Linked DNA regions of Saccharomyces cerevisiae S288C. The protein of the gene in region 2 interacts with the protein of the main gene of each other region in a biochemical or structural test. Each region holds a gene or a part of one and is shown on either strand. Other genes may lie near its edges. The genes, in order: TIF5, SUI3 and GCD6.

What was found.
Region 1: the proteins of SUI3 (region 2) and TIF5 form a complex in vitro, tested with the Saccharomyces cerevisiae proteins (6 studies listed by BioGRID, with this or other methods).
Region 3: the proteins of SUI3 (region 2) and GCD6 form a complex in vitro, tested with the Saccharomyces cerevisiae proteins (4 studies listed by BioGRID).

Annotation. Positions count from the first base shown.
Region 1 is NC_001148.4:645,600-650,303, reverse strand, and holds TIF5 (translation initiation factor eIF5), read right to left. Parts: upstream 1,601-4,704; coding exon 383-1,600; downstream 1-382. Other genes in the region: TIP41 (Tip41p), read right to left, coding at 1,929-2,999; IRC16 (Irc16p), read right to left, coding at 3,109-3,468; ERV2 (flavin-linked sulfhydryl oxidase), read left to right, coding at 3,266-3,856; SPO24 (Spo24p), read right to left, coding at 4,151-4,354. UniProt on the Saccharomyces cerevisiae protein: Catalyzes the hydrolysis of GTP bound to the 40S ribosomal initiation complex (40S.mRNA.Met-tRNA[F].eIF-2.GTP) with the subsequent joining of a 60S ribosomal subunit resulting in the release of eIF-2 and the guanine nucleotide.
Region 2 is NC_001148.4:98,628-104,286, reverse strand, and holds SUI3 (translation initiation factor eIF2 subunit beta), read right to left. Parts: upstream 3,792-5,659; coding exon 2,934-3,791; downstream 1-2,933. Other genes in the region: RVB2 (RuvB family ATP-dependent DNA helicase reptin), read right to left, coding at 1-1,055; putative serine/threonine protein kinase ENV7, read left to right, coding at 1,585-2,679; YAR1 (Yar1p), read right to left, coding at 4,201-4,803. UniProt on the Saccharomyces cerevisiae protein: Component of the eIF2 complex that functions in the early steps of protein synthesis by forming a ternary complex with GTP and initiator tRNA.
Region 3 is NC_001136.10:879,587-886,326, reverse strand, and holds the start of GCD6 (translation initiation factor eIF2B catalytic subunit epsilon), read right to left. Parts: upstream 1,601-6,740; coding exon 1-1,600. Other genes in the region: YDR210C-C (gag protein), read left to right, coding at 2,400-3,722. UniProt on the Saccharomyces cerevisiae protein: Acts as a catalytic component of the translation initiation factor 2B (eIF2B) complex, which catalyzes the exchange of GDP for GTP on eukaryotic initiation factor 2 (eIF2) and is regulated by phosphorylated eIF2.

The DNA.
Region 1 (4,704 bases), 550 kb from region 2:
TGACCCTTTTTTTTTCCTCTATTGTACAAGTTTTCAACAGGCTTTAGGCTCTACTTCTATTAATGATTATAATATAATGCATTACCTTTCAGAAAAATCTTCGGTAATCTCATGTTATGTATACGCATGCGATCGTGGAGCCAAATTACACCGACATTTTATTTTTTTTTTTTTACTTAATAATTAATCAATCAATCAGTGGCTTTAAAAGTCTCATCTTTGTTTTTTGCCAGTACCAAGTATGTCGCACTTGGAAGAAATATTATATTTATAAATATTTACATATCTATACATCAACGAGCTCAAAAACAACAGAACATAATCCTTATCTTACGCCATGTCATATAATAATTTACACATAAGTCTTTTGCCCCCTCCTAAGCTATTCGTCGTCTTCTTCATCATCGTCACTTTCAGCGGTTTCTAACCACGTAATGAATGGCTTAGCAGCCCTACGAACCTTTTTGGATACCTCCTTAGGTACAAATTTCTTGGATGATTTGGTACCAAATCTCATGATTTCTTCTTCCGAGATGATATCATTATTGTATAGTTGTACCAAAATTTTTGGTAATAGTGGGATTAGATCCTTATGTTCTAAACCTAAAAATCTTTCAATACCACCCATAAAGTTCTTTTCGTATTCTGGAGTGACTAAAATTTTAGTGAAAAATGCATTATGTTCAGCGATTTCGTTTACGATATCCTCATCGAATAGACATTGCGCCAAGACACAACCAATTTTTGGATCATTCAAGACGTCTAGTTCTGCAGCCTTCTTATAAAGCTCCACATCTGATGGTAAGTTCTCCTTATCTTCACCAGCCTGCTCCAAAATCCATTCACCATATTCATCCAGTTGAGTGAGCTCAGAGTTCACTTCTAGTTCCTTGGCACGAGCTCTAATGGCTTCTTCAGACATATCAACCGCCCATTCGTCATCTTTGACCTCGATATCTTCTAAGGTAGAGGCAGCCGCCTTGATTTGACGAGATAATTCATCTTCGTCTTCGTCATGATGTTGTGGAGTGGATGAGCCGGTGCCATCTGAAGGTGCATTCTGAGACTTACCTTGAGCAATATCACTAATGGACAACCCACCACCACGAACATTGGCCGAAGCGGTAGCTGCTTTCTTCTTCTTCTTGGAACCAGAAACGGAGTCAGGTGGGTTTTTCAAAATGAAGGATGATAGTTTATGTCTCAAGTCCATTGGAGTTCTCTTACCACAGGCTTTACAGTCTCGAACCAAATCATTATCTTTGGTAATGATGATCTCCGTTTCTGGATTTTTACAGCTTCCACAGAGAACAAACTTGTTAATAAAGCCATCCAATACGTCTTGCAATTTGGCAGGTTCGTGAACACCATTAACTAAATAACGATCTTTGTCAACAGAGATGGAAGTTTGAGCACCTAATTCGAAACCAAAATACTTGACAATATATGGAGCAGGTCTATTTAGCGCGTGAGAGATGTCAGCGACGTTCAAAACGGCAGTCTTGATACCGTTACCTCTACCTTCCACCTTGGCTTGGATGGGAGGCATTTTGTAACGGTAAAATGGATCATGATTATCTCTACAAATATTAATAGACATCTTGTACCAGTGAACGTGTGTTTATGCAAATAATAGGAGTTTTTTTTTTTGGAAAAAAAAGAAGAACACACGAGATACTCTTTAATGTAGTGGTGTCTTTGTAAGTCAGCAAAGTGGGAAGGAGGGGTAGGCGTTTGCCACTAATTAAATGCTAAAAGTTCATCTATTTTCTTTTTTTTTTTTCGTTCATACTTCGCGATGAAAATTTTTCACTATTTACAGAACGGGTAAGAGCATGATTTTAAGATCATTTCTTGTATGATGTATCCGGAGCTTATGTATATGTGACGTGTATGTATTTGTACGTATTGTTTTGTATATTTGATTGTTAGAACTGAATTATTTCACATTGTCTTTTGATCATCGGCGTGTTCTGTGCTACCCAATTACTATCTCTCAAGGCAGCTTTTGGGTCGTGAGATTGGGATAGCCGGTGCTTAGCAAGTACATCCTGATATTTACCTTCAAATTCCTTGGATTCTCTGATCACTACGTTTTCGTCAAACTCCACGTAAATCCTGGTGTCGTAGACCCTCACCAGAACATCGTCCACCCTTAAAAAGAACCGGCTCAGCAGCAGTAACCTTTCGTTCATAACTCTTATTTTGACGTTAAGGATTGATATGCCATTGTCTGCCAATTCGTCTTCGAAAAGAATCATGTCGTCATAGAATAGGATTTTATCGTGTACGGCCAGTTTGTCAAGGGGCAGCTTTTGATCGTTATCCAGTCGGAATTTCGACTCAGGTGAGCTCTCTGTGCCCTTATACCGCGTAGTGTAGGTCCAGTCGTACTTGTGTATGATATTTAAGGAATCGTCGTTCACATCGTTAGTGAACCGTTGCGCACCATTAGTTGAATTTTGTCTTTTTTTAGAATTTATCCAGTCGTTTGAGTACGCAACACGAATACCTGAATCCTGGAGTTGAACCTCCTTTAAAGCATCCAGGGCATTGAACTCTATGGACCAATGCTGTTTTGAATTTTCGATCCTGATGTAGTTGTTACCAAAAATCATCTCTGGCAAAGTCAAACCTTTGAGTTTTTCGTTTTCCCAGATGTCTAATTCCTGCGAGTTCAAAATGGGCTTCTTTCTGGAGGAGATGGTCCAGTCGTTGATGGAGATGGAGGGGTTGTCCTCCAAGGGTAACGTGGCCCTTGGAGATGGAATGATAACAGACCCACAGTGGAGACACTGCGGATTGTTTGGGTTATTGCAAATATGTCGAGGTGGTGTTGCTGGGGCTGCAGTTGGTTGCACAGAGGGTGTAGTGATGCCGCTAGTTGGCATGGGCATTCTTCGAGCGCGCACCGTTTGAGCGTGCATTTCTCTAGCAGCATTTATTTGAATAGTGTTTATCCCTGATGATCTGAGCGGTGGAGTGTTTCTTTTGGACATTTTTTCTGGGGAGCTGTTGTGTCTAAAGCTGCCCTTAGGTCATGTATATGGGGTGCGTAAGTATGGTGATGCATTTTGTTATTATATATTACAAGATGGAAGAGAAAGGTTAACCACCGGGTAAACGAAGCGGGAAAAGGAACCAAAAATAAAGGACAAAAGGCTTTATCATTAAACAATAAACGTGGGTGATGAAGACAAGAAGACGGGAAGGCTGGTGATTTGTAAAGAGGAAAGTCTGGACAGATTGTGCAAGGAACGAAGGGATGAAACAGATAGTCAAAAGAAGCCATGCCATCAGAATAGTTGCAGCATTAGGAATCATAGGCCTGTGGATGTTTTTCTCGTCTAATGAACTATCCATCGCTACGCCGGGCCTAATCAAGGCGAAGTCTGGTATAGATGAAGTGCAAGGGGCGGCTGCTGAGAAGAACGACGCTCGGTTGAAAGAGATCGAGAAGCAAACCATTATGCCATTGATGGGCGATGACAAGGTGAAGAAGGAAGTGGGCAGGGCGTCGTGGAAGTACTTCCATACCCTGCTGGCCCGTTTTCCGGACGAGCCTACTCCTGAAGAAAGAGAGAAACTGCACACGTTTATTGGGTTGTATGCAGAACTCTATCCATGCGGGGAATGTTCATATCACTTTGTAAAGTTGATTGAGAAGTATCCCGTACAGACATCTAGCAGGACGGCTGCCGCAATGTGGGGATGCCACATTCACAACAAGGTGAACGAATACCTAAAGAAAGACATATATGACTGTGCTACCATCCTGGAGGACTACGATTGTGGATGTAGTGACAGCGACGGTAAACGCGTGTCTCTCGAGAAGGAGGCTAAACAGCACGGTTGAACAAAGAAAGATTACATTAATCAATTATAGTAATAGTAAATTTTTTATTATTTTATATTTTAAATTTTTTTACTTTCTCAGTATTTATATTACATAAATATGTATATATCAAAAAGTTTCTGTCGTAGAAGAGACCCGATCCGAGGTTATTGAATGTAAGTGCGGGAAAGTGCAGATAGAATGACAATGAATGCTCCGGAAAAAAAAAAAAAAGTACGTGACTTACTTGCCCAAGTAAGTAAAGATGCCAAGTGTCTTTTATGCTAATAGTGTGCTAATTCTCGTGTACAACACTTACAACAGAGACAAAGAGTTTTTTCTGGAGTGTGAGCGGCTTGAAGCAGAGGCATCCAAAAGAGCGGCATTGGCAATAGCCAGATTCAGGTCATCGACGTTTGCGTCAGAGTTCTTTCTTGAGCTTGGCTGAGAGACTGGCGAAAGAGATGGGATGACAAAAGGTTGAGAAACGTCAGAAGTTAGTTCTAAAAAGGCGACCATTGTTGAAATTTTTGTTTTTTGTGTTATTTGTGTGAGTTGTCAGTAAAGCTGTTTTGTAGTTGCTTGTTTGATGATGATTTTTTATATTTTACAAGGACTAGAGGAAACAATTGTGAGAGTTGAGCTATTGGAGAAATCTAGAGACCTTATATATGTGTCTGTTCTTCATGCTAATTGAGCCCCCTCTAAAGTTCTCTTACGTTATAGAGCGTCATGACAACGATTGATCACGCAGATGACTAACCGCCAGTCACAGCGCATATTAGCGCGCAAATGAAAAGAATGACCGACCCGCCGCGGAATCGATCTCGGATTTGCGCGGGGACAGCCACACCCACCTTCCGCGGACC
Region 2 (5,659 bases):
ATTGACCTATCCAAAAGATCGAGAGGTAACCCATGTGGAGATTTGTAATTAGTCCCTCTGGTTTTGGAAACTCCTCTATTTGTAGCCATCATGACGATTGGGGCAAACTCATCTTCCAAAGCCCTATTTATAAAGGAAAAACATTCTATATCCAACATGTGGACTTCGTCGATAAATAATACACCAGGAACAATTTCTGCTTTACCTTCTTCTTTCCATTCTGCCACTTTTGTGTTTATCTGGTCTCTTACCTCTGACCTAATTTCACCGGTGTCACCAGTAAATAATGCCAAAAATCCTTGTGTTCTTGAATTAATAACATCAATTTCATGCAGTGACACCGTGTGAACCACTGTTTTCCTTTTTTGCAGTTCGCCTTCCGGACATTGAACAAATCTGGTATCAGCACCCATGGCATCATAATCCCTAGATCTAGCAAAGGATCTGCCTAGCTTGGTAATCTTCCCACTAGCTTTATCAATAGAAATAACATCGCCAGCCAATACCTTTTCTTTAGTTAGGCCATCAATCATTTTATTGCCTAATTCATAAATTGTTTCCATATCGGTAGTTTTAATAGTCAATTTTCCTTGTTTGTGTCCACCAGTAATAGATCTATCAATTTGAATTTCCACGACTTCACCTTCAATCAATTCTGTCTCCTCCTTGATTTTGATACCGATGGATTTCCTAAAAGCTTGAGTTAGTGCTTCAGTTTTACTCAATTCTAAAGAAAAGATTTCTGAGCCCGCAATAGCAGTGAATGGTACATCTTTACCCAGAGACTGGGAAACACCCATGGCAAGAGCGGTCTTACCAGTTGAAGGGGGGCCCGCTACCAAAACAGCCCTACCTGCTATGGTGCCATTTTGAACCATTTTCAATATCACACCAGCAGCACGACGGGCTTGCAATTGCCCAACCATACCTTCGGATGTGGGACGTGGTTGCAAGTTTTCATCTAGACCTAAACCTGTAATATGGGAGTGGGCAGCAATTAAAGATAACGACTTTAAATCTGATGTTTCATTTGGATCACTAGTTTGAATCGACATGCTGACAATTTTTTTTATTTCCTTTCAAAGTAACTTGTGCTAGACTGCTAGAGAAAGTAGTATTGCTGGCTTCAACTAACTGAACTTCTTTCTCTCGTTTCCCGTGTGAATGTACAGTCTTCATTTAGCTTTCATCTTCTATTGAAAACCTTCAAAAAGTTCGCTGAAAAAAATAATTTTCACGTTTCTTTCAAACTGATCACGTGAAAGGGAGTTAAATAGACTTTAATAAGTGTAGAAACAAAGAAGTAAAGAAAACCGCTATATTGGGTCTAACCAATACGACTGATACAACTGTGTTGACCCCCAAAGTTTACATAATTTGCTCTTTTTCTTTTTTGCAAGATCCTTTCTGTTTTGATAAGTCCTGTCTTATGACACCGAGTTAGGGACATTTTCGGTATCTGGTTTTGTAAGATGTTGAACCATACTTTCTCCAAAAAGACGAAACAGAGAGTAGACAAAAAGAGCCTGTAATCTCAGCGACTGACTAGGGATAAAATAACGATTGTACCATCTTATCCGATCAATGATTTCTATTGTATTGGAATTGTTCCAGAACTTGTGCTGCTGTCGCGGATTTTCCGATGCTACTATTAGGGTAAATGATAAACGATATAGGATTCAACGACTACTTGGAGAAGGTGGAATGTCCTTTGTGTATTTGGTACAACTGTCAAAGAATTCTCTGATTATAGACAACGGCATCGCAACACCAGAATTATACGCACTAAAGAAGATTATTTGTCCTAGTGTGGAAAGTATATCCAATGGTATGCGAGAAATTGAAAATTACAAACGGTTTCAAAGTCCTTATGTTATAAAAAGTATCGACTCACAAGTAATGCAGGAAAAAGATGGGTCAAAAACAATTTACATAGTACTACCCTATTATTCATTAGGGAGTTTACAAGACTCTATTAATCGGAGGTTACTCGAGGGCACCTTTGTATCAGAGGCAGAATGCGTAAGGATAATGCTTGGAGTTACAAGAGGTTTACTTTGTTTACATGATCCTGCGTCAAGACAAGATAACGCTACTTCCAGAGTAAATGTCGATGCGGTTTCTATGACTTATAGCGATGAAACGGCGATGCTCCTAGAAGACACCCCCTTAGAGATGGACATGCTTTCCTCCAACTCAGCAGGTTCAATAGCATATGCACATCGCGATATTACACCTTCAAACATTTTGTTCTCTTCAGACGGTTTACCAGTAATTGGTGACCTCGGCTCCTGCTCTCAAGCTGATATAACAATTGAAAACAGACATCAACTCAGCGAACTACAAGAATGGGTCAATGACAATTGTACGTTGCCATATACTCCACCAGAACTTCTGAACTTGAAATTAAATCAGGTTTTGAGCTCTAAGGTTGATATTTGGTCTTTGGGTTGTACGTTCTATACTTTAATGTTCGGTATCTCCCCCTTTGAGCGAGAAGAGCAGATACATGGAGCTTCTTTAACCTACGCTATAAACACTGGTAAGTACAGTTTCCCGAGAAATTCCAGATTTTCTGAGGGGCTTTTGAGTGTAATCAAGAAATGCATTCAAGTGGATCCTATACAAAGGCCTACTACCAGCCAATTATTAAATCTTTTACAAGATTTAGACACTTGATCGGTTTTGCTTCTCAAAGCTTTTTCCTGTCCTTGGGAAGTAAACAGGACACGATGATTGGCTGGCTCCATGCAATGTGTTCACTCTGATCAATGAAGATTACCTACCGCTGTTTAGATTTATTTTGTGAATGAAAATTTTTACTTTAAGTTTTTCTTCATTTAAACATTAAATATCTAATGAAACGAATAAAATACACAAGATAAACGAAATCCGTATTTATTATATATATGCTAACAGGTAAAGCACCAACATCACATTCTCCTTCTCTTACCAACGGTAGCTTGGAAACCGGTTTTAATAGAAGAGACGGATCTGGTAGAACCACAACTTTTACAGACCATAAAGAACAGTCTGTTTGACTGTTCTCTCTTCAATTCGGTGTTAATACTCTTACAAGTTTTACAAGTGACATACTCCAAAATGTATCTTCTTAAGACATTCTCCATTTGTTTGGATTGAAACTTACCCTTAATGACTAATCTTTTCTGACCGTCAACAGAACCGGACGTACCTAATTCTGCGAAGAGATATTGAATCAAATGTTCCGGAGATCTATGCAATTTTTCGGCGATATCTTGGATATTCGAGAAAATAGTCTTCTTACCATCACGCAAACAAACAGGAGGAGGAATTCTGAACTTTGGACCACTTCTATCACCAGCAAGTTCTGGATTGTTAGTTCTTAGAATATTGAAAAATCTAGATAATAACTCTGAATAAGGTAGGCCAACTTCTTGTTGAATGCTGGAATTAGCACTTGGAGTGCCTTCTTTGCTTTCAGCATCCACATTATCTAGACCAGCTTTAGCTAGTTCTTTCTCAAACGCGTCTACACTGCTGTCCTTTGTCTTTTTCTTTTTCTTCTTCAAGGATAGTTCACCCAAGGCTTCTGCTATGTCGTCAGTAGGCTCTTTTTCAGCTTCAGCATCGGCAGAAACGCTCTTGGACTTCTTCTTTTTCTTTTTTAATCCGGCAAATAAATCATCTCCTGAACCATTTTCTTTGCCGTTTACGGCAGCATCAAAATCATCTGGGATCACCTTCTTAGTCTTCTTTTTCTTCTTTAGTGCAGGGTCGAATCCTAACTCAGCAGCTAAATCGGAGGACATCTCGTGCGTGCTTATTATATGACTGGTTGCCTAGGCGCTTTTCGGTTGATGTGCAAGAAGTTTCCTAGTCTCTCTTATAATGTCTTCTTCTACTTTCTTTTTCTTTTTTTCCATCAATTTCACTTTTTCTCGCAATTACAAAATTTTTCACTCCGTCGTTGATGAGGACTCCGGCTCTGCGGGTAATGAAATGGAAAGTTCAATGCATTCAAAATATACGCTTTTGAAGCGGTTACTTAGTTTGTGAGAGAAATATACATTATTACTGTAACTCTTTTCTAAATTTTTTGTATTTATTAATGCATTTCTGCTGGTTCCATCCTTTTATCTTCTCCGGTACCAAGAAATAAAATATCATGCTCAATGGATATTACGGCTTTTATTCCACGAAGAAAACAAGCTCTTTACTTTAGTCTTTATTTATATTCAGTTTCTCGGTTTCTTCTCTTAAAGCCTCGGTGGCTTCCTTGGTGACTTGTTCAATTTCTGTACCCTTTGTGATTTGGACCGAATTCTTGCCCTCAGTTTGTGTGTCTTCTTCATCATCTTCAGGTTCGACATCATACTTCTTCAAAAAGTATGTTTCCACTTCTTCCTTCCCGCTGTTCTCGGCCTCAAAGATAGCATCGTGGCCGAATTTGTTTCTAATAAAGGGGTCTGCCTCATATTCATCACACAGTAGCTTGACCACGTCTAATTTGCCATTCAACGACGCCCAATGTAAAGCCGTGTTGCCTGTTTTGTTCACCTCATTAACAAAAGCTTTCAAGTCTTCGGCACTATTTGCGCGAGAAACCGTCTCCAGTATATACCGAACGGTCTCTATATGACCGTTGGCAGCAGCCATATGTAAAGCCGTAGAATCAGATTCACTTTCCTTACAAGTCGAAAGTAACTCGGGACTGACTAAAGTTGTAAATATATCTTTCAGAGAATCCAAATCGCCAGCTCTTGCATCGAGTATTATGGTGTCTTGGTCCTCTTGATCTAACGGTTCACTGTGTAGGCCCATATCTGCGTATATGTAGATTTTTTTTTTCTATTTGGAAATAATTACTTTCTTTGAGATAGAGCGCGAACAATTTTGCCTATCGTATTACAATTCGTTTTTGTTTTACACAAATGATAATTAACTCATCGATTTTTTCTCAGATTCTCTTTTTCTTTTATTACTTTTCCTTCTTATTCTATGAAAATTTCATATCATCGTTCATGGTGATATTACCACGGTGACATCAAATGGAATTGTCCTATTTTTCTTTTCCTGTAATTAGTGGCGCGGGACTTTTTATTCCTCGTGGCAAAGAATGGCTACTAAGAGGAGAATAAGAGATGGTTAGAAGTATTTGGAAGCTTGATGACAGAATATTTTAAAATATAACTTAGCTTGCGTGTGCGTATTTGTATTCTTCGTGGTTACGATATGAACCAACGTGCAAGCGTGTGATATATCACATTCCGGAGGGTGTCACCCCCCCTCTCTCAACACAGTAATCCATAAACCAGTTTTACATACACGTAAAAAAGAACAGGAATAAAGCTTAATCGGATTATTAACTCATACGCTTGTCACATATTGTTCGAACAATTCTGGTTCTTTCGAGTTTCGCAGAACTTTTTGAATTTTTCTTTTTTTTCTAGAACGCCGTGGAAGAAAAACACGCGCATGGTTTTATGAGCGGTTAATTCTCATCTTAATACCAACCAGGTCCTTCCGCCACCCCCTAAAACATATAAATATGCAGCTTATCCCTTCAATTCTTAACATCTGTGACCTCCTCATTTCTTCCCGCTGTATTAGAGTTCAAGAAATCATACCTGATAGAAAATAGAGTCCTATAAACAAAAGCACAAACAAACACGCAAAG
Region 3 (6,740 bases), on a different chromosome or scaffold from region 2:
CTCTATCCGTGTATATACTATTGACAGACATCGTTCTTCTTTTCTTTGTCTTTTTAGTGGCGGAAGAAATTGAATCGTCACTTAAGTATAACTCATCTAATTGGTTACTCAAAGTGTTTATTTCTTTGCAGGCTTCTGTAGAACTATCTTCATCGTCAGACACCTCGCTTTCGTAAATATAACCAACACCCTTATCTCCAACAATAGAAACGGCTAGTGTCTGATCATCAAGGTCTTGGTCAAACTGCTCATTGCTTTCATTATCATACATTCTTGAGCCGGCATTTTTTAATGGACTGGCAGATATTTTTGTGTTTCTATCTAAATCCATATTATCATCAATTTTAACGTTGAAACCAATTATACAGCCATCATTTAGGCGTACATTACTCCCTAACGTGGCATTAGAGGCAATTAATGAATGGTCAATTATACTGTTATTTCCGATGATACAGTCATCCCAAATGAAACTGTTCTTGATTCTAATATTTTCACCGATTTGGCAGTTCCTTCCAATCACGGAATTCTCAATTTTCGTACCCTCTCCGATTTTTGTTCCTGATCCAATTGCAGTGCACTTACCAATTTTACAGGATTGGGCCAAAACAACGTCTTTTTCCTTGTATATATGTCTTGATTCATAAGAATACGTTTGATCGTCCTGTATGTTAGAGTCTAAGACCAAGGGATAACACCATCTACCTAAAAAGTCTTGAGAAATGGTGTCGTAAGTTTGCCAACTTTCAACTCTTACAGCATATTCGTCCGTCAAATAGGCATATATATGCTTTCCCAATATATCGCTTGAAATGACACCTTTAACAAAGTCTGTCCTTAATGATTGGTAGTCAAAATTTTCTTGAAATATCAAAGGTACATGAGATGTACAAATGTCAATTCTACAATCGATGAGGTCATTCCTTATGACAAATTCATCGACATTATCCAACAATTCTGGGTCAATCTGAATGGAAGTCTTCTCTCTAGAGCTTGGTAATGGTAAATCTTGGTAATAAATACACCTACTGGTGGATTTGTCTAAGACAAATGCGGCAGGCTCAATAGTTCTTGTTTTTGGATAGGTACTCGCTTTGCTCAAACACATTGTCGAGATGTGATCTTTATCTTGCAAATGCATTTTTTTGTGAAATTCTAGCATTTTGCTGAAATCGATGTTAGTCAATACATCACCACTGACTAAAATAAAATCTCCAGTAATGATACCTCTATTATCTAGATCTCTCATAACATCACCCGTACATCTAGCTTCTGGAGACATAATGGTGGTAATTTTAAATGGAGACCAAGGCAAGTTCCACTTAGAATTCTCAATATAGTCATTAATTTGGTTGGCATGAGAAGAGCAAATTAAGAAAACTTCATGTACGCCAGCCTTAGCCAAAAATTCTAAGGTGTATTCAATGAGAGGTACGTTAGCCAGTGGCAGCAAACACCTTGGCTTGACAGCTGTCAGTGGCATAAACCTAGTTTCATAAGAGTCTGTCAAGACAACGGCCTGGAGACGATCTTCAACATCCATATCAGAGTTCTTTCCATGGTTGCCTAGTCCACTTTTCTTTTGTCCCTTTTTTCCAGCCATCTTTTGCCTTATGAGTGGTTTCTATTCTATTTTTAACACAAGACCACTTTTAGTTATTTTTATACTTATCCCACAAGGTGGTCCATCTGCCATCTTTGAATTGGTGATTTAACTCTTCGCATTAATCTACTGAAAAAAAAAAAAAAAAAAAAAAGAACTGAAAACCATCTAAAGTCAAATAAGCTCATGTAATACGGGCATGTTGCAAACGCGTGTGAAAAAAAAAGAGAAAGTGCTCGAGGTGGGGTTTGAACCCACGACGGTCGCGTTGCTTTTAAAGGCCTGTTTGAAAGGTCTTTGGCACAGAAACTTCGGAAACCGAATGTTGCTATAAGCACGAAGCTCTAACCACTGAGCTACACGAGCATTTTCGAAAGAGACGTAAATAACATTGTTATTTATACTGGAATTAGTACTAATAATTTTATTAAAAAAAAAAATAGCTCTTTCTGAGAATTCTTTGAATTTTGGGAAAATTGTCGGGATATTAGTGTTAAAGAGGCCATTGTTGGAATAAAAATCAACTATCATCTACTAACTAGTATTTACGTTACTAGTATATTATCATATACGGTGTTAGAAGATGACGCAAATGATGAGAAATAGTCATCTAAATTAGTGGAAGCTGAAACGCAAGGATTGATAATGTAATAGGATCAATGAATATTAACATATAAAACGATGATAATAATATTTATAGAATTGTGTAGAATTGCAGATTCCCTTTTATGGATTCCTAAATCCTCGAGGAGAACTTCTAGTATATTCTGTATACCTAATATTATAGCCTTTATCAACAATGGAATCCCAACAATTATCTAATTACCCACATATATCTCATGGTAGCGCCTGTGCTTCGGTTACTTCTAAGGAAGTCCACACAAATCAAGATCCGTTAGACGTTTCAGCTTCCAAAATTCAAGAATATGATAAGGCTTCCACTAAGGCTAACTCTCAACAGACAACAACACCTGCTTCATCAGCTGTTCCAGAGAACCCCCATCATGCCTCTCCTCAACCTGCTTCAGTACCACCTCCACAGAATGGGCCGTACCCACAGCAGTGCATGATGACCCAAAACCAAGCCAATCCATCTGGTTGGTCATTTTACGGACACCCATCTATGATTCCGTATACACCTTATCAAATGTCGCCTATGTACTTTCCACCTGGGCCACAATCACAGTTTCCGCAGTATCCATCATCAGTTGGAACGCCTCTGAGCACTCCATCACCTGAGTCAGGTAATACATTTACTGATTCATCCTCAGCGGACTCTGATATGACATCCACTAAAAAATATGTCAGACCACCACCAATGTTAACCTCACCTAATGACTTTCCAAATTGGGTTAAAACATACATCAAATTTTTACAAAACTCGAATCTCGGTGGTATTATTCCGACAGTAAACGGAAAACCCGTACGTCAGATCACTGATGATGAACTCACCTTCTTGTATAACACTTTTCAAATATTTGCTCCCTCTCAATTCCTACCTACCTGGGTCAAAGACATCCTATCCGTTGATTATACGGATATCATGAAAATTCTTTCCAAAAGTATTGAAAAAATGCAATCTGATACCCAAGAGGCAAACGACATTGTGACCCTGGCAAATTTGCAATATAATGGCAGTACACCTGCAGATGCATTTGAAACAAAAGTCACAAACATTATCGACAGACTGAACAATAATGGCATTCATATCAATAACAAGGTCGCATGCCAATTAATTATGAGAGGTCTATCTGGCGAATATAAATTTTTACGCTACACACGTCATCGACATCTAAATATGACAGTCGCTGAACTGTTCTTAGATATCCATGCTATTTATGAAGAACAACAGGGATCGAGAAACAGCAAACCTAATTACAGGAGAAATCGGAGTGATGAGAAGAATGATTCTCGCAGCTATACGAATACAACCAAACCCAAAGTTATAGCTCGGAATCCTCAAAAAACAAATAATTCGAAATCGAAAACAGCCAGGGCTCACAATGTATCCACATCTATTAACTCTCCCAGCACGGACAACGATTCCATCAGTAAATCAACTACTGAACCGATTCAATTGAACAATAAGCACGACCTTCATCTTAGGCCAGAAACTTACTGAATCTACAGTAAATCATACTAATCATTCTGATGATGAACTCCCTGGACACCTCCTTCTCGATTCAGGAGCATCACGAACCCTTATAAGATCTGCTCATCACATACACTCAGCATCATCTAATCCTGACATAAACGTAGTTGATGCTCAAAAAAGAAATATACCAATTAACGCTATTGGTGACCTACAATTTCACTTCCAGGACAACACCAAAACATCAATAAAGGTATTGCACACTCCTAACATAGCCTATGACTTACTCAGTTTGAATGAATTGGCTGCAGTAGATATCACAGCATGCTTTACCAAAAACGTCTTAGAACGATCTGACGGCACTGTACTTGCACCTATCGTAAAATATGGAGACTTTTACTGGGTATCTAAAAAGTACTTGCTTCCATCAAATATCTCCGTACCCACCATCAATAATGTCCATACAAGTGAAAGTACACGCAAATATCCTTATCCTTTCATTCATCGAATGCTTGCGCATGCCAATGCACAGACAATTCGATACTCACTTAAAAATAACACCATCACGTATTTTAACGAATCAGATGTCGACTGGTCTAGTGCTATTGACTATCAATGTCCTGATTGTTTAATCGGCAAAAGCACCAAACACAGACATATCAAAGGTTCACGACTAAAATACCAAAATTCATACGAACCCTTTCAATACCTACATACTGACATATTTGGTCCAGTTCACAACCTACCAAATAGTGCACCATCCTATTTCATCTCATTTACTGATGAGACAACAAAATTCCGTTGGGTTTATCCATTACACGACCGTCGCGAGGACTCTATCCTCGATGTTTTTACTACGATACTAGCTTTTATTAAAAACCAGTTTCAGGCCAGTGTCTTGGTTATACAAATGGACCGTGGTTCTGAGTATACTAACAGAACTCTCCATAAATTCCTTGAAAAAAATGGTATAACTCCATGCTATACAACCACAGCGGATTCCCGAGCACATGGAGTCGCTGAACGGCTAAACCGTACCTTATTAGATGACTGCCGTACTCAACTGCAATGTAGTGGTTTACCGAACCATTTATGGTTCTCTGCAATCGAATTTTCTACTATTGTGAGAAATTCACTAGCTTCACCTAAAAGCAAAAAATCTGCAAGACAACATGCTGGCTTGGCAGGACTTGATATCAGTACTTTGTTACCTTTCGGTCAACCTGTTATCGTCAATGATCACAACCCTAACTCCAAAATACATCCTCGTGGCATCCCAGGCTACGCTCTACATCCGTCTCGAAACTCTTATGGATATATCATCTATCTTCCATCCTTAAAGAAGACAGTAGATACAACTAACTATGTTATTCTTCAGGGCAAGGACTCCAGATTAGATCAATTCAATTACGACGCACTCACTTTCGATGAAGACTTAAACCGTTTAACTGCTTCATATCAATCGTTCATTGCGTCAAATGAGATCCAACAATCCAATGATCTTAACATAGAATCAGACCATGACTTTCAATCTGATATTGAACTATATCCTGAGCAACCGAGAAATGTCCTTTCAAAAGCTGTGAGTCCAACCGATTCCACACCCCCGTCAACTCATACTGAAGATTCGAAACGTGTTTCTAAAACCAATATTCGCGCACCCAGAGAAGTTGACCCCAACATATCTGAATCTAATATTCTTCCATCTAAGAAGAGATCTAGCACCCCCCAAATTTCCGATATCGAGAGTACCGATTCGGGTGGTATGCATAGATTAGATGTTCCTTTACTTGCTCCCATGTCCCAATCTAACACACATGAGTCGTCGTACGCCAGTAAATCTAAAGATTTCAGACACTCAGACTCGTACAGTGAAAATGAGACTAATCATACAAACGTACCAATATCCAGTACGGGTGGTACCAACAACAAAACTGTTCCGCAGATAAGTGACCAAGAGACTGAGAAAAGGATTATACACCGTTCACCTTCAATCGATGCTTCTCCACCGGAAAATAATTCATCGCACAATATTGTTCCTATCAAAACGCCAACTACTGTTTCTGAACAGAATACCGAGGAATCTATCATCGCTGATCTCCCACTCCCTGATCTACCTCCAGAATCTCCTACCGAATTCCCTGACCCATTTAAAGAACTCCCACCGATAAATTCTCATCAAACTAATTCCAGTTTGGGTGGTATTGGTGACTCTAATGCCTATACTACTATCAACAGTAAGAAAAGATCATTAGAAGATAATGAAACTGAAATTAAGGTATCACGAGACACATGGAATACTAAGAATATGCGTAGTTTAGAACCTCCGAGATCGAAGAAACGAATTCACCTGATTGCAGCTGTAAAAGCAGTAAAATCAATCAAACCAATACGGACAACTTTAAGATACGATGAGGCAATCACCTATAATAAAGATATTAAAGAAAAGGAAAAATATATCGAAGCATACCACAAAGAAGTCAACCAACTATTGAAAATGAATACTTGGGACACTGACAAATATTATGACAGAAAAGAAATAGACCCTAAAAGAGTAATAAACTCAATGTTTATCTTCAACAAGAAACGTGACGGAACTCATAAAGCTAGATTTGTTGCAAGAGGTGACATTCAGCATCCTGATACGTACGATACAGGTATGCAATCCAACACTGTACATCATTATGCGTTGATGACATCCCTGTCACTTGCATTAGACAATAACTACTATATTACACAATTAGACATATCTTCGGCATATTTGTATGCAGACATCAAAGAAGAATTATACATAAGACCTCCACCACATTTAGGAATGAATGATAAGTTGATACGTTTGAAGAAATCACTTTATGGATTGAAACAAAGTGGAGCGAACTGGTACGAAACTATCAAATCATACCTGATAAAACAGTGTGGTATGGAAGAAGTTCGTGGATGGTCATGCGTATTTAAGAATAGTCAAGTAACAATTTGCTTATTCGTTGATGATATGATATTGTTCAGCAAAGACTTAAATGCAAATAAGAAAATCATAACAACACTCAA